Arabidopsis thaliana: one gene and its partners. The protein of the gene in region 3 interacts with the protein of the main gene of each other region in a pairwise test. Each region holds a gene or a part of one and is shown on either strand. Other genes may lie near its edges.

Region 1 (3,906 bases), on a different chromosome or scaffold from region 3:
GCAATGGAGAAAGAGGGAGTGAAAGGTTTACCTTTGGTGGTGTCGGAGACCGGGTGGCCCTCTGCCGGGAATGGAGGCATGACGACACCGGCTCTTCAATATACGTACATTGGTAACTTTGTGAAGCATGTTGCAAGTGGTAAAGGAACGCCTAAGAGGCCAAATAGTAGAATTGATGCGTATATATTTGAGACGTACAATGAGAACCAGAAGCCAGTTGGAATCTATCAGCATTTTGGGTTATACGATCCTTACTGAGACGACGCCCATGTACACGCTCTTCTGATCCTCGATGTTGTGTTCAAGTGGTCAGTTTTTACTGTTTCTCTTAAGAATCTGTGTTGTCAAAATAATGCTCTAGTATTGTTTGTTTAGGGGTTGAAAGACCCATTTAATAAAACTTATGGTTTATAATCTAAGTGGGTTTCGAGTTAGCCTTATTAGAAATTTCACTTTAGTATTTGGAACTACTAAATTGAAGGAAAACACAATTGAGGATCAAAAGAGCGTTTGGTACCCAGCTCCTATGTTTTTTTACGAGTAAAAAACTCTTTGCAGGATTTTTACTTTTTAATTTTGAAATCAAAGACGTCACCCAAAGCACAACCATAATAGGTTTAGTGAACACTGAACAGTAAATCTCTGTTTCCACAAATTGTAAAATACAGTACCAAAAAAAGGGCAAAAACTTGAACAATCTTTAGTTATCATATGCGGTGGTAACCAAATGAACCTGATGTCTTCACGATTAGACACATGCTTGCTGGAACCATTTGTTGATTTAGTGACCATATTTCTGAAACTCCCACTCACTGTTATCTGTTGAAACAACTCAGCAATATTAGCAAACAAACAAAAACTGCATACTAGTCAAGAAGCTTAAAACCAAGAAACACATACCCAATGGACAAACTTGACGAGTCTTTAGCCATCTGCTGATGCAGTGAAAGTGGAAGGCGTGATTGCAAACCCCTGCAAGTACATATTGAGTATCTTTCGTTAGGGAAGGCACTAAATAATTTATGTATATCCACTTGAGTTGTCACATTATAGAAAAAAGATTCGAAAAGGTCATCACACAATCACATACATCTTAAAGGAATACTTCCTACTTTCTCTAATACTTCCTAGCTAACAAGATTCACCCTCCAAGTGGTCATCTTTCATTGAGCAATCAAGAATACAGAAATACTTATTGCAGTTATTTTGGTCGTCCTCTGAGTTTTTAATTCATCATCAATCGTACAATCAACTGCAAGACTATGAAAGCATGTAAACACAATAACTACAATTTGGTCTCTCTCTCTCTCAGAAAATCTTTAAAACTCCATAAATCTAATCAACTGTACTACTCATCGACCAATCTAGATTGCTGCAAAACAAGGAACAGGGTCTGCTCTCAAATAAAGCAAAGACATCTATCAGAGTGATACTACCACATAAGTAAAATTCAATGTCAAGTTTTAAAACACGCACTCAGAGATACTAAAATTGTTTCACACAACACTTTCGCATACAGTTTTGTGTTTCTAGATTCACAATTACGATAGCTACAATTATAAACCAAATCAAGTTTCCAAACAAAAAGCAACGATTGAGATCATGATCATAGAAGAAGAAAAATGCTTACCCCAAGCTACAGTGCACTCTTCACTTGTGGCACTGGCCTGATTAGCCTGACACTCGATACCTAACAACAAACCAAAACACAAAAACGAAATAAGCATAAACATTCAACATCATCGTTACAAATTCCAAAATCAATCGATTGTTTTAAGACTTACAAAGATCCATGATGTGGTTTCTGCAGATCGCACAGTTGTCAACAACGATATCTGCAACCAAAACAAAGATCAATCAATCAATAAAACTCTTAACCTAACCAAAAATTAACATCGTAACACAAACATCGAAACATCGAAAGACCAATTGAAGATAGTGTATAAGGATTTTCGAGGTTACCCCAAGCCCAGAGAGCAACGGCGCTCCACTTCTTAATTTCGAATCGCTTAGCTTTCTTGTTGGAAGACGACGCGGCTACGCTGCTGGAGGCTTCTCCGGCAGGAATCATGGTAACGTCGGAGTCTAGAGTCGCCATTAATCTCTGATCGGAAAGAAAATTTAAACCCTAGAAAAGCCGGAGAAAAATATCAACGTTTGAGCTGTCGCTGATTTTGTTGTAGAGAGAGATTGTAGAGGAAGAAGAAGAGAGATATATAAAGCAGCTTTGGGCTTTGCCTGTATAGTGGGCTTTCGTCGGAATTAGATTCCCGTAAATTTCCATAATTCGGTTTAAGGTTTCCTTTTTTTAATCTTACTCATCCTACGATTTACATAAATATTTTAATTTTTCCTTTATTATCCCAACGATTTTTATTTATTTAATTGATAAATTAAATATTTTTAAGCAAAAAGATTACGGAAAATATCTATTTTATATAATAAAAAAAACATATATATATATTTTTTTCTAACTATTCCCAGAAGATTTACAATAACTATATGACTAATTAACTAATCATTACATACGCTTAGTTCAAATTAACTGGAAAATCATTACATCATAAAAGCTTAGCGTATTCAATGCATCAAGATGTTAGAAAATAGTGTCAAGATATTTTTCTACAAGCCATAAGAGTTGCATATAGTTAGATGATGTATATGCTTCATGCCACCTGCCTCTGGTCTCTGAGAGCTGAAACTTTCTTCCGCAGTTCAATATTTGATATTCTCTCCACCTCCAGAGCTCGTTCAAGCTACACAATCCGTTGGTTTTGGTTTAGCCTCTCATAGTAAACAAAAGGGTTTGAATTCGATAAACTCGATATTGGCTTAAGATTTTTCACTATCATATTGCTGCATCTCTAAAACATACAATGAAGAGAGAGAGAGAGAAGAGAAGATTGTACCTTTGCAGCTCGCATACTCCATTCTCCAAGAATAGCTCTTAACCTTTCATTTTCTGCTACATACTGTTTCAGGAGTTTCAAAAACAAAAGATGATGAGTTCAGGGATCAGAAAAAATGTGTAGCCCTTGCAAATTGTTTGATGCAAAAACAATTCATGGTAAAGCTGTGTTGATGATAAACATGATGTGATGCTGTGAAAGTATGTTTTGTTCTCATATGTTCTTATGTTTATAGATAGACTCGAACCTGATTATTGGTATTCCGGACGTGTTGTATCTCTCTATCTCTCTCAGAGATCAGAGATCGAGCGAGATTAAGCTCTGAATGGAGTTGATCCACCTGCAAGACACACAATTTTCATTTAAAGATGCTACATCAAGGATACTAGCCTTGAAATGTCAATCAACTATGATATGTTTTCCACCAAATGGGTAAAAGAGAGATGAGAAAGAAAAATTAACCATGGGAATTTGCAAGTTTATCATTTGTTAACCGAGCTTTACCTCAGCAGATAGTGTTCGTAATTCCTGATCTCGAGTTGCCACAAGATGCGCCAGATCAACCTGAAAGTTTAACATTTATCAAATGCAAAAATTAAAATCCCAGTGGAAGGAAAAAGTTATACATTACTTTTAAGAAAATTTATTAAGAATGTTGTTAGAATGTGTACACGCTGATAAAAAGAAGTCAAAAATTCAGAATGGAGCAGTTCAAACCTGAGGCGTGCTACTACCATTCGTTTCATATTTACTTAAGGACTCCTGCAAACGCAGAATCTGAAACAAAACAAGAGAGGTCAGAGACTCACTCTAACGAAAGCATGGGAAAATTCAGAAAATTAGGGTAGACAATGAAGAGCTAGAGAGAGCATTGAACTTAGAATTACTAGTAAGAAACATCACAAGCATCAAGATTCAGAAATGAAGTACTCATGATAAATATTCCATGGATTGTCACCTCTTCACTGAGATAATGGAGATTCTCGCGTTGATATTG
Region 2 (4,493 bases), about 19 Mb from region 3:
GGGTCACGAGAAATCCATGAACGAACAACCCAATTCATCAATTGAAAGAAGCATCCACCGCAAATCACCCAGAGAAGCTCCGTCCGGAGATTGAAAGCAATCTCAAACACGACGGAGACAAGCCAAAGAAGCAGCGTCGCTAAGAAAAACTGCCCAGCCCCATTCTTCTTCCCTCCTGAACTCCCAATCCCGTTCCTCGCCATCGAAACCTCACTGTCTCTCTCGGAGATTGCTTGAGAATCCGGCAAAGTTAACCCTAAATTGGATTCTTAGCTCAAACTTCGATATCCATTTCCAATTTTGGCGGAAGAGACGATACAAATGCCTTCACGTTATAAGCTTTACTTTGGGACGCAACGGACACGTGTCGGTCGATACTTCATCCTCCTGATGCTGACTCATCTAATTAAAACAAAAAACGTACGATTTCAACATCGACAAAATTATCATATTTTGTGCCGACATTCGATGTCGACAGTCATTAGGCCTAGTCACAGCCCATTTGAAAGGCTCGGCCCATTTGAGAGGCTCGGTACACCAAACTAGAGGCAAATCCACTCAATACTATACATTAGACAGAGTGATACAACAAAATCCAGAGTTGTTGTTAGTTACACACACAGAAGAGAACAAGAAGACTATAAACAAAACACCATCAAGCTGAAATGTTCAAAGTATGTGTGTAAGTGTATATTAGACCGGTTTCCACACAGACAAAACCTCTTGAAACATCTCCAGCATCAGTTCTCGATCAGCTTGCCTGAAGAAACTGCTGATTTCTTCTCTGACATCATAAATCTTTCCGAAATCAAACAAATACATCAAACACCCTTTCTTCAGTTTCTCCAGCTGATAAAGCCAAGCTTCTTGTAGCCTCTCGAGCACATTACTCGAGTTTATATCTTCCATTAGGCTCTCCTCGCAGGCTGCTTTCAAATCCGTTATGTCGTACTTGTTTGCAGCGCCGAGGAGGGCGAGCCTGTGTTTCCAGAACTCTTCTTGGGTTATGTTTCCGTAGAGGTAACTTAGTAGAGCCATGCAAGATTCTCTCGACATGTCGTCTATGTGGATTGTGGATGATTCCTTTTCCATGAGGTCGTGGTGGAACATGCTTTTGAAAACAGTTGAGCTAGCTGAGAGGATAGCTTTGTGAGCAGAGAGTGTTCCATCGGCTGTGTGGATGATTACATCGGTTAGTATGCTTTCCTCTAGCATCCGGGATAAGCATTTGAGAGTGGTTTGAGTAGAGATTGATTGCATTGTTGCATCGGTTGGCCAAACAGGAGAAGCTTCACCACCCTGGATTATGATTTGATTTGATCAACCATGGAAGTACAAATGTTACAAAGAGAAGAAATTGTGAGAGTATAAATAGAATCATTAAGCTTACATTCACAGGGCAGATTTTGAGATCAAGAAACTCAACATCAATGGTGAATCGACCGTGGAAACTGGAGTCAACATGCCACACACAATCATCAGTTGTACGCAGCAGCTTCTCATAAACTGCACCAAATAAACAGAGTATCTCAGCTTAAACAAACCTAATTCAGTTGTAACCATCCCATAAGGTACTACTAATCATCAGCCAATCATTAACATCTAAATTAATATCTTTCAGATTCCACATAATTGAATATAGTTCCCACATAAAAGGTAATTCCCTTTCCTGAAATACCTAATTCGAGCTCGACAATAGAATTCAAATTCCAAATCCAGAAAAGTCAATTCAAAGACAAGACATACCAGGAGAGATGTAGAATCTACGATTGGGGCCAACGTTGGAGACACGAAGAACAAATTTGGCAACAGGAGGTTGCTCTTTAGATACTCGAGAAAGTTCTGGGAATAGCCTCACTGATAGATAGCGATTCCTCTCTATAGACAGATGCCTTCATCATATCCCAAAACAAACAAAAATCAAAATTCCGAAGAAAATTTACCAAAATAAACCAAAAATGAAAAGCTTACCAATTCCAAATTCCGACTTTGAAAGGATCGGACTTTTTGAAAGAACAAGGACCAAAATTTTCAATTCTCCATTGAGCTAACCTCGAGATTGTCTCTACCTTCGTGTCCCCCATCCACTTTCTCTCTGAAGTTTTGACTTCCTTTTCTCTCTGAACTCTTTACTTCACGCCAAATAACACGACGAAGCAAGCAAAACACTCTGCCGCCTCCATCGCCTGCCACGTGTACGACGATTATACGTTTTTATCCATTAAACCGGTTTACTAACGATATATTAAAATCAATTCTCGGTTTGAAATGAAAGAGAGTGGACTTAGACTTAGAGAGATAACAGATAAAATGGCGACGGGGACGGCGACGGAGAAACCGAAGATCGTGTGGAACGAAGGAAGACATAGATTCGAGACTGATGATCACGAAGCCTTCATAGAGTACAAGATGAAGAATGACGGTAAAGTCATGGATCTGGTTCGAACCTTCGTACCGCCGTCAAAAGCAGGACTTGGTTTAGCTTCGCATCTATGCGTCGCCGCTTTCGAACACGCCTCTGAACACTCTTTCTCCATCATCCCCACTTGCTCCTACGTTTCCGTATACATCTCTTCTTTCCTCAAAAAATTGAGATGAATCAGATTCTTATGAAAATATGTCGTGTTTTGCAGGAAACGTTTCTTCATCGAAACCCAACGTGGCAGCGTCTGGTTCACTCAGAGGATGATTCCAAGAACCTCAAGTCTAGCATCTGATCAAGTCCTGCTTTAAAGCCTTTTGGTGTATAATAAAAACTTGAAAACATTATCTTACAATAGTAAAGCTTGTTTCAAGTAATCTCTGTAAACAAACAAAAATCCCAAAATGTATGTTTTTCACAATTCGACAGCAACAAACAAACACTAATGTTTGTCGTAACAATAAATATAACGTGAAAACATTATTCTATGATACATTTTTGTACAGAAACTTCGATGTGTCTCTTTAGCCAGTGACATAGTAATCCATTTTCTCCGGTGGCAAGTTCAGAACCGATTCGTCAACCTAATAACATCAAGGAAGATATTCAGATCAAATCAATGTAACTAAGATTATAGGTGGGAAGAGTATACAATAATTTATAGTTTACTTACCTCTTCGAAAGGAACGAAGACGAATGCAGTCATACCCCTCTTGTGTGAGACGGCAGGTATATCCGGGTTGTGAGTTTCATCGTCTTCCCAACCTTCAACTAACCCAAGAATGTCTTCTTCTGTGCTGCTTATTTCCTCATCGTTCACACCACTTGTCACAAGTGACAGCAAATCCATCCTGTTATTCGCTCCAATAGCTGTTCCTCTTAACCTAACCACACCCGAAAACATATCCACACCAAGAAGATCAAAATGACTATCAGCTACTAAAAATTTCAACCCCATCACATTCACCGGATCAGATAAGTCTTAGATGAATGTACTAGACACGGTACTTTAAAAGATAAGTAACAGGCCTTCTTCCCAATGCCAGACCAAGGTTCTAAATGCTATTACTAAAAAGAAGTCTTCTCTATCCACATATTTTGAGGGATTGAAGTACCTTAAACGAATCCTTAAGACAGTAGGGCGTGTCCCTGGGTACAGAACAGCTGCTTCGATCTGCAAAAAGAACATGTTTTTCAGTAATCAGGATTATGAAGATGTAATGTTGTTGATTACCAGCCAAAAGGCAGTAGAGGGAGCTAACCTTATCATCCGACATTGACAGTGTATAAGTGCCTTTGTAAAGATTTTCAGATTTAGAAGCCTTAAAGTTCATGTACTTGGCAACATCCTTCAATTTCTGTGAAGAGTTCTGAAGGAATAACAACAAATACGGATGGATCATTATCAGACTAGATCCCACCAGTAGCTCAACGTTTATACCTACTTATATCGAAGAGTGCAAACCTTGTAAAGAAATCTGCCAGAAGGGTAGAACCTTATGTAGCGGTAGTAACAAACCTGCAACAAATTTTCCAAAAGAAGACGCAGATTATTATATGTGTCTGTATTGGACAGATGAAGAAGAAAAGAAAGAAAAAGACAAAGACTTTACAATGTGAACTGGATTTGTAATCTTCCACTCAGCAATTCCAGCTCGAATGTAAGTATTCCTACTCACATAAAGACCTGAGAAGAAGATACATAGTTACTTTAATCAATAAAGATATAACAAGACACGATGTTAGTCAGAGCATACAAAAGAAAACAATCACTTGGCGCTAGAATGTCGTGAAGCAAGAGGATGAAGAAAGAAAGATTACCATCAGTACGAACTCTGGATCTAAGAAGCCACATTTTCCTCCATGATCCATCATATTTAGACTGCAAGATCTTATAGTTTTCGATAACCCCAGCAGTCTGCCAAGCTTTCAAGCAGGCATTACGCCAGAACATAGGGTTTCGAACTGTGTACCTCCACTTTCTACAAACACAAGATGCTCTACCTAAGTCATAAGGCATCATCCGAGCAAACACCTACAAGTAACATATCCAAGAATCAACTTCTCCAGT
Region 3 (5,144 bases):
GAAAAAAGTCAAAGCAAAGGTCCATCATGGAGGTCAAGTCCTGTTTGATCACACAGTCCTAAATCAGTACTTTGAAGATTGAATTGCATGTTAGAGAAACTGGTGCTACTTACACAATGAAATTCAGATTCTGATGTCCCACAAACTTCAATCAACCTAAGCTTGTCTACCTTAAGCTACTTCAATCACCCAAATCAATGCACACATAAGTCTTTAACATTCCATTATACCTAGATGCTGCGATTTCAGGACATATAACAGCTTTACAAATCTCGCCCTGTGATTCAATTAGTCAATACAAAAAAAATTCAATTTCAATGAAGAAGGAAGGAGATTGTATCATTTTGGATTGAGTGTAAAGAGTTATCTTACGATTCCGATGATTGAAGAATCGAATTAGACATCGCATAAACGGCCAAATTCTGCAGCTTTTCGTATGAGAAGATTGTTATTATTAGAGAGACCAAGCTTTTTAGCTACGTTGGAGATATCCGTTAAGCAACTGTGTGATGCACAGATTAGTCCGTTAAGCAAATGCTCGCTCTGGTTATATATCTTTGATGATGTATATGGGTTTGATCAATAACAGGCAAATCAATATTTTCTTTTCAAAACGGAAACAAAATGTTTATAACTTACCAGACTACAGAACAAATAAGAAATGCTGACTAACAGAAGAAACGATGCGAAATAAACAGAGGGACCGTGTAATCAATCCAGACTTTTTTACGCTAGATAGCGGTAAAGTTTCCGGTCTGTATTATCCCTCTCCAAGAAATCACGCTCAATGAGTGATTCAATTCTCTTCTTTATCTCTGTTGGGTTTGCCAAGAACCGCGTCTGCAACTGTTTGGTGACCTCTGCGATTATGTTGTTGTGATCCAACACTCGTCTAGACTTCATTATCCTCACGATGGCTGCTTCGATCTGAGGTTTTCTGTCTTCTTCTACTCTCTGTCTTGTCTCTTGCTTCTCTGGTTCTGTCTCCTTTTGTGCCACCACAGTTCCTATCTTCACTTTGTAGAACTTGCTTGCGAACCTGTCGTTCACAACAAACCAGTCCTCCTCTGCTATCTCCTTGCTCATTGGTTCTTTTCTTAGCACGTTTTTACCTTTTACACACGCCATTGACTGCAAGCAACGCTTTAGGTCTGGGGTGGGGATTTCAGTTGCCTGTTCGATCTCTTTGTAGCTTAGTCGATCAGAGTTGTTGAACAACATAAGGACACACATTTGGAAAGTCGAAACGTTTAGTTCATGCTTCTGACCCTTTCCAAACACTGCTTTGATATCTGCTGTTCCCATATTCGTTTGCCAAGACAATCTCCTACCGGTGTGAGTCCCGAGGTAATATGACCTGAACTTCTCACACAGAACAGAAACTTCTGCAGGTAGGTTACATTGTATGGTTGGCTGTGTGGGCCAAGAACCGGTTGTGAGAACCTGAACAACAAGTGTAGGTCCTTCTGAAAGCTCGGGATGGCTATTATAAAATCCTAGCAGCGTGTCGTGTGAGGTCTTCATGTCAGTGAACATACCTTCAAGTTTCGAAGTGAATTGATACCCACATTCCGTCTTCAGTTTCACTATCAGATTCCTCTCTGCATCATCCGACACAGTTTTTCCAGATAAAAGCCTTTTCGCCAGATGCTGTTTGTAATATTTCTCAAAAACGTCTTTCTCCTGTAAGTAGCGAAACAACATCATCACCTTATCAAGAATAAGATCGACATCCTCCTCTCCCACACCTTTTAGTCCTTTTCGTAGCTTATCATCAACAAACAGGGAGATAAACTCAGGAGAACGTGTGTTCAAGTTGACGAAATACTCAAACGAAGAATTTAGCGCATTCTGGAACGTCTTATCGTTGTTAAATGCCATGTTGATAATTCTGTCATACTTATCCCGCTCATCCAATAGACGCTGCACAAATTCAACCGGATCCTTTGATTTCTCTGGATCAGTAACCAACTGTTTTCCCATTTCCCTAAGATGCAAAGTCATAACATCTCTAACCGTTACAAGACCATTAGCAACCCTACGGAACAAACTATACATTCTACCCATATCCTCATACTTATCATTCAAAAGCATATTAACCAAACCTGAATTCTCCATATGAACTAGTCTCTGCACATGGTTAGCAATCATCTCTCTTTCAACCACACTAGTAATCTTCGCTTCGCTCTTAGCATCCAAATAATTCACAACCCTTTCGACTTCTTCCACTAAAGGCTTCTCAGCTTTCTTCAAATACTCACCACAATCACAAGACTCAATAAACTCCATTGACTCAACCTTATAAAACTCAGCAGAAGCTTCCAAAAACGGCTTCTCAAAATCATCTTGATAAACAGATTCACCTAAATCCATAAACATCTTAATCACATTCCTCATCAACACCCTATCTATAACTTCACCAGTCCGTTCCTTATGAACTAAATCAAGAAGCGTATTCAATAGCCTAGTCTGAATCTTACTCGAATACACAACATTATCTCTCCAGAGATGAAGTCCAAGCTCATGAACATGAGTTTTCTTAGTAGTAGAAACGTAAGTACGATCCATATACATGAGAATATCCCTAATCATTTGCAACGCTTTGTTATGATCATTCCATTTCCTATTAAGCAATTCTAAAAATGCTCCTCCTTGAGCTTCTTCAATAGACTTACATATCTCTTTGAGATGAAATGTCATAGTGGTAACAAGTCCAGTATAAAGCTTATCACCATACTTATGTAGAACCATGTTGTATGCGTTTCTGAAATAAGCGACCAAAGTTTAGCAGAACAACAACAACAAGAGATGAATCAAAGTGAAATCTATGGAAGTGTACCTGTAAAGCTCTTCGAAACTGAGACCACTAGCGTTGTGATTGTAAATCTCATGAATCGCATGTTCAAGGATCTTCCAAGTTTTATCGGCGTATTTTGGATCAACGACGACTCGTTGCTTAAACGCTTCAATCTGGAAATTTCTCTTCTTCTGATTACTCATTGTTGAAAATGAAACTGAACCAAAAAGTAAGAGAGACCACAAAATCAGTTCAAAGGAAAATCGGAAAAAATTCGAGGAATAAATCATGATGATAGAAGAATTGATTAAAACCTTAGATCAATCGTAGAATCAGAAATTGGAGGTTAGGGTTTGTGATGAAGAATTTGAAGGTTGAAGTCTTGAAGACGATGATGATGATGATTGATGATGATAGCGGAAGAAAAAAAATTAAATCTTATTATTATCCCAGTGGTTTTGATTATCTCTATTTGTTTAAAATGGGCTAGATAAAACAGATGGGCCTGGGCTTTTGTTAAAAAAAACTACGGTATTAATTTAAACGATGTCGCTTGGTAATTCTCATTCTTCTCAATCGTGAATTTGCAGAGTGCAGACATTGTTGATTGAAGAACGCTAATCGTTTGTTTTTTTAATTGTTTGCGTTAAGTTAAAGCTACTTGTTGGGACGTCAAAGCAACGCTTCTTTCGATTCTGACTTTCATATAAATACTAAACTCCAACTTTTTGATTTCTCTGCTACTTTTGTTCTTCTCTTTTACTTCCCCAGATACATCAATCGATCAATTTGGTACTCTTCTCTCTTCTCTTTAATCCCTAATCGATTCTGTTATGTTTGTGAGTGCATTTTTTTTTTCTGGCAAAGTTTAGTTTTTTGAGGATTTTGTTTTTTGAATGTAGCAAAACATGTCTGTTGAGTTATGTTCGGTGAGGCCTTTGTTTGGTGGCGCTATTTCCACCGTCTTCCCTCAAAGATTTCAGGTTCTTTCAATAAAACCCTTTTCGCTGCTTAATTGAAATTCACTGGTTTCCTCATTTCTTCCTTATTGTGAATCTTCAGGATGTGAGTAATATCCGACAAGTTCCAGATCATCAGGTTTGGTGGTTCTATTCTCAGTGGCATTGTTTGTAAGTACATGTGTAGAAGAATCTCTAGTTTACTCTGTATTTGTGTTTGATTGTTTGGTTTTCACAGGAAGTGTTTGTGGATCCTTCAAGAGATGAGAGTTTGATTTTTGAGTTGTTGGATTTCAAGGCTGAGGTTGGTGACATTGGCAGTGCCTCTTGGTTCCTTAATGATCTTGCGAGTGAGCAAGATGCTGAAGGATTTCAGGTAATACCACTACTACACTAGAACTCTTCTTATGGTAGACAAACCAACTTTAAGAACTAGTGTTGTTATTTCTCTAGAATACATCTAGTATCTTGAGTACAAACATAGAGTTTAACGTGTATAGATTTCCCAAAGTTGGAACCTTTTTGCCTGTGATGATACTAGTGAGGCTGTTTTTTGGTTATTGTGGATTCAGTCTCTGAAACTAGTCGAAATAGAACTAATACTGGTGTGTTTTTGGTTAATCTTTACCAAGATTGATGATATATATGAAGAAGACAATCTAGTAATGTTGCTGTGTAATTTTCAGTTGATTGAGCAATCAGAGGTCATTGAGGCGCCTGGACTGTCTTTCAGAAACATCTCTGCTGTTGCGACAACTGCTATTGGAGAGATGGTAATGTCCATAAACATATGATGTCTTTGCTCATAATTTTCCTTTCTATTTGTTTTCTCCTTAACAAGGATCATTACAGGCTATATCCAAAGGAAGACAGGGAAGAGAAGCACAAAACCTAGTGAGAGTATGAAGCTTCTCCTTGTTCTGTCTCTCTATTTATTCTAAAGGGGTTTGTTACTTGAGACACCAACTGGTTTATATGATTCTGCAGGTATATGTGGCAAATATTCGTCTTAAGGGAGTTGATACAGATGTCTTAGTGACTGCCTATGAACCTATCCTGATAAAGTAAGTCCCACAAAGTTGAGTCACTCAGTTATATTGCAAGCAGTTGAATATAGATATGCATCGTTTTGATACAGAACTTGAATATCAAAATATGGTTATTGTTGTTGTTGTTGTACCACATGTCTTTTCATCTAAGGTGTTTGCGTATTATTGTGCAGTCCTCTGAGCGAAAGCGCGGATGCTGTGGGATCTGGTTTAGCTGTCCCAGCTTCACAATCTGGAAAAATGCCAATGTGTGATATCATTAAACAATCACTCTCTACATTCAAAGTCAATGACTGGAATCTTTTCGGTTCCTCAGCTTGAGTCTATGCGAAATGAGAA
Region 4 (6,460 bases), on a different chromosome or scaffold from region 3:
GACTGGATATCAAAAGAAAATTTTCAATTTCACCATATGTGTATGATTTTTTTTTTTTTTTTTTAGCGTTTTTAACTTTTTTTTTGTGTTTTAAAGATTACTCAAATTTGCGCTCCAAGTGGAACGAGGGCGCTCCAAGTGGAACGAGGGAACAAATTTAATTTTGCCTCCTAAATGAAAACCAAATTTTAAAGAAGCTACAAATACGCTAGAATTCAGGAATCACCATATGTAATCTCCTGGGTTAACCAAAGCATGTAGCAAACTCTTCTTATATTAATAAGATATTTGGCCGTAAAGAAAAAAAGATATATTGACCTTTGGTTAGATTAAATGGGCTTATGGTTTGATCTAAAGTTTGCGGTAATCACAAATAACTTTAATAATAACACGTTGGATTTTAATAAACAATTTTTCTCCATCGTAGATTTCTAAGTTTCTAATATAGATCTTTTGGATTCACCATTGAATAAGAACACATATTCAGACAAATCAAACCAAAAACCAATTAGACTGTTTTTTCATATGTGCCTCTTTTGAACCTTTTTTCTTAAATGAACAAGTCTAGGCTATACATCCCCTAACCAGGGACCATAAAATTTTATTTCAATTAGACTATTTATCTTGTTGAGCTTTCATTTTTGAACATTGATTTTATATATTTAGTGTTAGAAGAGTTACTAATGTTCTCTTATGTTTTTGTATCATTGGATAATATCAATATTATGAAAGATGACGTGATTGAATGTGTACAAATTGTACTAATGAGTATTGCCTAAGTAAACTTTTTTTTTATTGTCGATGTAAGTATTTTTTATATTGACAGATAAACAACAAATTAAATATCAAAATAATAAAAAATGTTAGAAAAGAGTTTATAGAAAAACTTATACCAATAAGTCAACCTAGCGTTACTAGATTCAAGCTCATTAGCAACATAAAGAATGGGAGCAATCTCAACAACAAGCGAAAAAGAAACAAGTCCACTTTTGAGGTAAAAGAATTTCATAATAATCCATGAAAATAACAATTGAATACATCATAGTTTTCAAATATTTCGCAAATTTGAAATTTCAGAGCAAATTTGAAACACACAGCAACAACAAAAAAAAGATTTTGGTTCTCATATTTGATTTTGACATTACATCGAGGTTAGTTAGACTTCTTTTAGACTAACAATGATAAATAACTTGTGAATTAAATGCAAGATCAACAGTTAGATGAACTAGAAATTTGGCATGAAACCATCAAAAAGAGATACTTAACTATATCAATAAAACGTGTTGATTACGTTATCATCTAGTTTATATGAATTCTATTAATAAATTAACAAAACATGGAAATTTTTTTTTTGATATATTTGTAGATCTATATTGAATATGTGATCATTAAAATCAAGATATCCCAATCCAAAACAATTTTTGGATGAATTAAAAAGTTAATTATCCAAAAGTTAGATTATATTTTTTAGAAAATATATTAAAATTTGTGCTAGGACAATATATCAAAAATAAAATTTTAATTTCACCATATGTGTAGGATTTTTATTTTTAGTTTAGCCTTTTTATTAGTGTTTTAATGAGAAAATAATTTAAAAATCTTTTTGACCAAAAATAACAAAAAAAATGGAAGAAAATAATAAATTCCCTCTGAGTGGAAGGAGGGAAATTTGGCTCCCAAATGAAAAACTAAATTTCAAAACCCCGCCAAATAGGCTTTGGTATTATAAAGAAAACGCTCTCTCCACTCCTGATGATAATCTCAAAATCGTTCAAAGCACCGCTCAAATTCTCCGTCAAATCTTCTACTGCGCCGGTGATATCAAACCATCCGCCAATGGAGAACCATCCCAAGCGCCAGCGAACAACACGCCTCGCCGCCAGAAACTTGAAGCGAAAACTCAGTCACAACACAGATGGAGCGCCAATCGTCACACAACTTATTGATATTGACGACGAACCCATAGATCTCGTCGTCGCGATTCGCCGTCACGTCGAGGTTCTTAACTCCAGCTTCTCAGATCCTGATTTTGATCACGAAGCTGTCAAAGAAGCTGCTGCTGATATCGCCGATTTGGCTAAAATCGGTACCGTACTTCTTCATTTTACCTCTAATCGGCGGCTAAAACTGAAAACGTGTTACTCTCTTTGCTTGTTCGTCCTTGAGTTGCTCAATTTTGAGTCAATTCTCGACAACGGATTCACTCTAATTTTGGATTCTACATAGAAATTGTTTTGTTCTTGCCCATAGTACTTTGATTTTCAGTAAGGCGAGACCTAGAAGTGTTTTTTTTTGGCTTAATTGATTTTCTCATCTGTTTATATAGATGAAAATGTTGAAATCATCGTGGAAAATGGAGCGATCCCTGCTTTGGTGAGATATCTGGAATCCCCTTTGGTAGTTTGTGGCAATGTTCCCAAATCTTGCGAGCACAAGCTAGAGAAAGATTGTGCTCTTGCTCTTGGACTTATTGCTGCGATTCAGGTAACCCTTCTTTCGCTGTTTTTGATGAAATTGTGGATGAGATGTTGTGTAATTTCAATCTCTGTTGGAAGTTAACATTAGAATTTTTGAAATGGGCGATTTGCAACTATCTTAGATGTACTTAGCTTGGATTGATGTATATTGATATTAGCTTTCTCTGTTAAATAGCCTGGTTACCAGCAGCTTATTGTGGATGCTGGAGCCATAGTTCCCACCGTGAAGTTGTTGAAGAGACGTGGGGAATGTGGTGAATGCATGTTTGCTAATGCTGTTATTAGGAGAGCCGCTGATATAATTACTAACATTGCTCATGACAATCCAAGGATTAAAACAAATATAAGGTACTAATATCTCATGATCCTTACTGGTTATGGTGATGACTAGCTGTTTTCACTTGACACCTTTTAAAAATGCTTTACAGGGTTGAAGGTGGCATTGCACCACTTGTTGAGCTTCTCAATTTTCCGGATGTTAAAGTACAGAGGGCTGCGGCAGGGGCCTTGCGAACAGTTTCATTTAGAAACGACGAGAACAAGAGTCAAGTATGTTTTTACTATGATTATGTTTTGTTTAGGCTTATGAAAGGCATGATTCTCACATAATGCGCAACTATGTAGATTGTGGAGTTGAATGCTTTACCCACACTTGTATTGATGCTTCAATCACAAGATTCTACCGTTCACGGGGAAGCGGTTAGTTCTTCATCTTGCTTTAGATCGTTGCAATTGGTTTGATTTGTTCAGTTCTTTCTAATGTACTATGGACTTTCAGATTGGGGCAATTGGAAATCTTGTCCACTCATCTCCTGACATCAAGAAAGAGGTTATCCGTGCTGGTGCCTTACAACCAGTAATTGGTCTACTTAGGTATGCTTATTTTACTTTCTTTCTACTTCTGCTGGAACAGATGCTAGCTCTTGAAATTTTGAATTATGTTTTGTAACTGTTTTTCATGATATCTGCTACAGCTCCACTTGTTTGGAAACACAGAGAGAAGCAGCATTATTAATAGGTCAATTTGCTGCGCCTGATTCAGATTGCAAGGTATGGGATTGTCTCTTTCTTGTTGTACTATAATATTAGCACATGTTATGTTCACTCAAACTCGTTTTTTTCTACGATATAACTGAATGGATTCTAACTAGAGAGAACATATTTAACATAACTGGCAACATGATCATGCAGGTGCACATTGCCCAGAGAGGTGCCATTACACCACTGATTAAGATGCTTGAATCATCAGATGAGCAGGTCGTGGAAATGTCAGCTTTTGCTCTTGGTCGTTTGGCTCAGGTATATATGTTTTTGAATTAGCATGTGAATGTTTTGTTGCTTTTAATATCTGACTCTTTGTAGATGATTGTTAAATCAGACCTTTTGTGATAAAACAAAAATTGTATGTTTTGAATGTTGCAGGACGCACACAATCAAGCTGGCATTGCACATAGAGGAGGCATCATCTCACTACTAAATCTTCTTGATGTGAAAACGGGGTCTGTGCAACACAATGCTGCCTTTGCTTTGTATGGCCTTGCAGATAACGAGGTAAACTCGACTCGCAATGAATAGTATTATATGTAGCTATACTCTTTGCTTACTTGACATACCGTGAGTACTTAATTAATTTTCCCGTCAATAGGAAAACGTAGCAGATTTCATAAAGGCTGGAGGTATTCAAAAGCTTCAAGATGACAACTTTACTGTCCAAGTATGCATTTGACTGCTTATATTTGCAAAACCAATCTAATAAGAATTTCAAACTTTAATTGTAAGTAATCTATTTGCAGCCGACTAGAGATTGTGTGGTTCGGACATTGAAGAGGCTGCAGAACAAGATTCACGGACCTGTGAGTACCTACTTCTGTTAGAACTTCTGGGTCTCAATTATGTTTTGCGATGTTTCTAATCCCCTGATGTCTCAACCTTCTTAGGTACTAAACCAATTATTGTACCTAATGAGAACCGCTGAGAAGACAGTACAAATACGAATTGCTCTGGCTCTTGCACATCTTTGTGACCCTAAAGATGGAAAATTAATCTTTATTGATAACAATGGTAAGCATCTCATATATTCAGAATTTCATTTTCTAATAAAATTTTCTGTGGTTTTTTGTTTCTGATCTATTGAAGTATTACTTATGCAGGAGTAGAGTTTTTGTTGGAACTTCTCTATTTCTCAAGCAATAAGCAGCAGAGATATAGTTCAAGTGCTTTATACGAGTTAGCTAAAAAAGCTACATCCTTTGCACCAGAGGATTCAGCTCCTTGTTCACCCACACAACAGGTAAAAAAATCTCCATTTCTTCTTTCAAGCATCAAATAATTTGTGATTTGAGGTCTTGACTTGTTGTTATTGATTATTATACTGAAGGTGTTTCTGGGTGAAAAATTCGTGAACAACCCCACTATGTCCGATGTCACATTCCTAATTGATGGTATAACATTTAACCCCATTTATGATTCTATAGAATCCACCGGTGAGAACATTCTTTAATGAGTATATCCATGTCCTATGTTAGGTAAACAATTCTATGCACACAAGATTGGCTTGGTAGCTTCCTCTGATATATTTCGTGCAATGTTTGATGGTCTTTACAAGGTAAGCTACTGAATCACGATTGTGGTAACTTATCTCATCAGAATATCATCTAACTAACTTTGAGAACTGGATATAGGAACGCAATGCTCAAAATGTGGAGATACCAAATATAAGATGGGAAGTGTTTGAGCTTATGATGAAGTTCATTTACTCAGGAAGAATTAACATCGCCAAACATTTGGCAAAAGATCTGCTTGTAGCAGCTGATCAATATCTTCTCGAAGGTCTCAAACGTCAATGTGAATACACCATTGCACAGGTAACAAACGTAAAACCAAGGTCTTAATTTTTCTGCACAGAAGGACTAATCTCTCTTGTGTGTTTTTAATAAGATGGACTTTACTTGTGCAGGAAATCTGTCTGGATAACATACCAGAGATGTATGAGTTAGCAGATACATTCAATGCTTCAGCCTTAAGAAGAGCTTGCACGCTCTTTGTTCTTGAGCATTTCACTAAGCTCAGCTCTCAATTATGGTATGCAAAATCATTACATCGTTATAATTTTTTTGGGAAATTTAACTTCTATTTCACTCATCAAGTTTCGATTGATTTACCTAATGCAGGTTTGCAAAGTTTGTCAAGCAAATTATACCTGAAATTCGGAGTTACATGACTGATATTCTCACACGGCCGGTCGAAGCTAGTCCCCCAACCGTCGTATAAAACATATAGGATTCCGGTTTGAAGTAGTTGATTTACTTTACTTAGGTAAAATTGTTTTTCTTTTGATAACCGGTCTGTATTTTGTTACTGCTATATCTCTAATATAAACTGCTTAACTCAATAATACCAAAGAGGCTCTCAAACATAGCTTATAAAATGACTTTTTTTACAAATGGCTGAGAACATCAGACTACAAAATACAAATGGTCGAGAAAACATGGCTCTAAAGCGGCATAGAAAGTTGCTTAGGAAAAATCAAACTCAAAATGTGTAACATTAACTGCAACATGAATACTTCTTGTTACCTTCAGATCTTGAATGCCTTGAAACAGTAACACAAATGTCTGGTTTTTGTCCCTTGTGTTGAAAATGTTTGAACCAAACTTAACAAAAACCACATTGGACATCCATGCTTTTGCCTAATCCTTTTTTTGCTGCATGCATTTGCATAATTTGCATAATCTAAGAAAATTAGTATAATTACTATGTATATAAGAAAATGAGAAAAACATTTAAGGAAAAAAAGTCACAGAGTATGACAATAAATTATGAGTTTTTCAACACAATTAAAGCCCAATAATGAATGAGGTCTCTGAATAGGGCTTAATAAAGGCCCAAAAACTAGTGCCGTCTACGAGAGAGACTGAGAGAGAGAAACATCGTGGTTCGTAAACATAAGCCGCAAGTCTCTCTCTATAAACACCGCCATTGAT

Evidence for each region.
Region 1: the proteins of CUL3B (region 3) and RBX1 interact in binary tests that used the Arabidopsis thaliana proteins (3 or more experiments, as listed by UniProt).
Region 2: the proteins of CUL3B (region 3) and AT1G21780 interact in a two-hybrid assay, tested with the Arabidopsis thaliana proteins (2 studies listed by BioGRID).
Region 4: the proteins of CUL3B (region 3) and ABAP1 interact in a two-hybrid assay, tested with the Arabidopsis thaliana proteins (one study listed by BioGRID).

The regions. Positions count from the first base shown.
Region 1 is NC_003076.8:6,956,124-6,960,029, forward strand, and holds RBX1 (RING-box 1), read right to left. Parts: upstream 2,189-3,906; 5' UTR 2,099-2,188; coding exon 1,963-2,098; coding exon of another isoform or gene 1,909-1,962; intron 1,836-1,908; coding exon 1,785-1,835; intron 1,691-1,784; coding exon 1,631-1,690; intron 1,218-1,630; coding exon 1,146-1,217; intron 973-1,145; coding exon 901-972; intron 820-900; coding exon 782-819; 3' UTR 537-781; downstream 1-536. Other genes in the region: AT5G20560 (Glycosyl hydrolase superfamily protein), read left to right, coding at 1-258; AT5G20580 (TMEM192 family protein), read right to left, coding at 2,667-2,756, 2,910-2,972, 3,157-3,249, 3,414-3,473, 3,627-3,686, 3,868-3,906. UniProt on the Arabidopsis thaliana protein: Component of the SCF (SKP1-CUL1-F-box protein) E3 ubiquitin ligase complex, which mediates the ubiquitination and subsequent proteasomal degradation of target proteins.
Region 2 is NC_003070.9:7,650,067-7,654,559, reverse strand, and holds AT1G21780 (BTB/POZ domain-containing protein), read right to left. Parts: upstream 2,634-4,493; 5' UTR 2,563-2,633; coding exon of another isoform or gene 2,311-2,562; 5' UTR 2,085-2,310; coding exon 1,972-2,084; intron 1,893-1,971; coding exon 1,747-1,892; intron 1,507-1,746; coding exon 1,391-1,506; intron 1,300-1,390; coding exon 694-1,299; 3' UTR 546-693; downstream 1-545. Other genes in the region: AT1G21790 (TRAM, LAG1 and CLN8 (TLC) lipid-sensing domain containing protein), read right to left, coding at 1-203; AT1G21770 (Acyl-CoA N-acyltransferases (NAT) superfamily protein), read left to right, coding at 2,311-2,562, 2,634-2,717; FBP7 (F-box protein 7), read right to left, coding at 2,947-3,006, 3,096-3,306, 3,538-3,596, 3,685-3,792, 3,888-3,941, 4,036-4,109, 4,244-4,457. UniProt on the Arabidopsis thaliana protein: May act as a substrate-specific adapter of an E3 ubiquitin-protein ligase complex (CUL3-RBX1-BTB) which mediates the ubiquitination and subsequent proteasomal degradation of target proteins.
Region 3 is NC_003070.9:26,201,443-26,206,586, forward strand, and holds CUL3B (cullin 3B), read right to left. Parts: upstream 3,354-5,144; 5' UTR 3,112-3,353; intron 3,015-3,111; 5' UTR 3,001-3,014; coding exon 2,840-3,000; intron 2,765-2,839; coding exon 727-2,764; 3' UTR 544-726; downstream 1-543. Other genes in the region: AT1G69680 (ran guanine nucleotide release factor, putative (Mog1/PsbP/DUF1795-like photosystem II reaction center PsbP family protein)), read left to right, coding at 3,706-3,780, 3,860-3,895, 3,995-4,132, 4,443-4,529, 4,609-4,656, 4,744-4,820, 4,979-5,126. UniProt on the Arabidopsis thaliana protein: Component of the cullin-RING ubiquitin ligases (CRL), or CUL3-RBX1-BTB protein E3 ligase complexes which mediate the ubiquitination and subsequent proteasomal degradation of target proteins.
Region 4 is NC_003076.8:4,141,206-4,147,665, forward strand, and holds ABAP1 (ARMADILLO BTB protein 1), read left to right. Parts: upstream 1-1,704; 5' UTR 1,705-1,752; coding exon 1,753-2,086; intron 2,087-2,326; coding exon 2,327-2,484; intron 2,485-2,652; coding exon 2,653-2,825; intron 2,826-2,905; coding exon 2,906-3,026; intron 3,027-3,101; coding exon 3,102-3,176; intron 3,177-3,255; coding exon 3,256-3,350; intron 3,351-3,451; coding exon 3,452-3,527; intron 3,528-3,668; coding exon 3,669-3,776; intron 3,777-3,899; coding exon 3,900-4,028; intron 4,029-4,122; coding exon 4,123-4,191; intron 4,192-4,270; coding exon 4,271-4,330; intron 4,331-4,414; coding exon 4,415-4,538; intron 4,539-4,627; coding exon 4,628-4,767; intron 4,768-4,854; coding exon 4,855-4,918; intron 4,919-5,002; coding exon 5,003-5,082; intron 5,083-5,158; coding exon 5,159-5,341; intron 5,342-5,433; coding exon 5,434-5,558; intron 5,559-5,647; coding exon 5,648-5,747; 3' UTR 5,748-5,935; downstream 5,936-6,460. UniProt on the Arabidopsis thaliana protein: May act as a substrate-specific adapter of an E3 ubiquitin-protein ligase complex (CUL3-RBX1-BTB) which mediates the ubiquitination and subsequent proteasomal degradation of target proteins.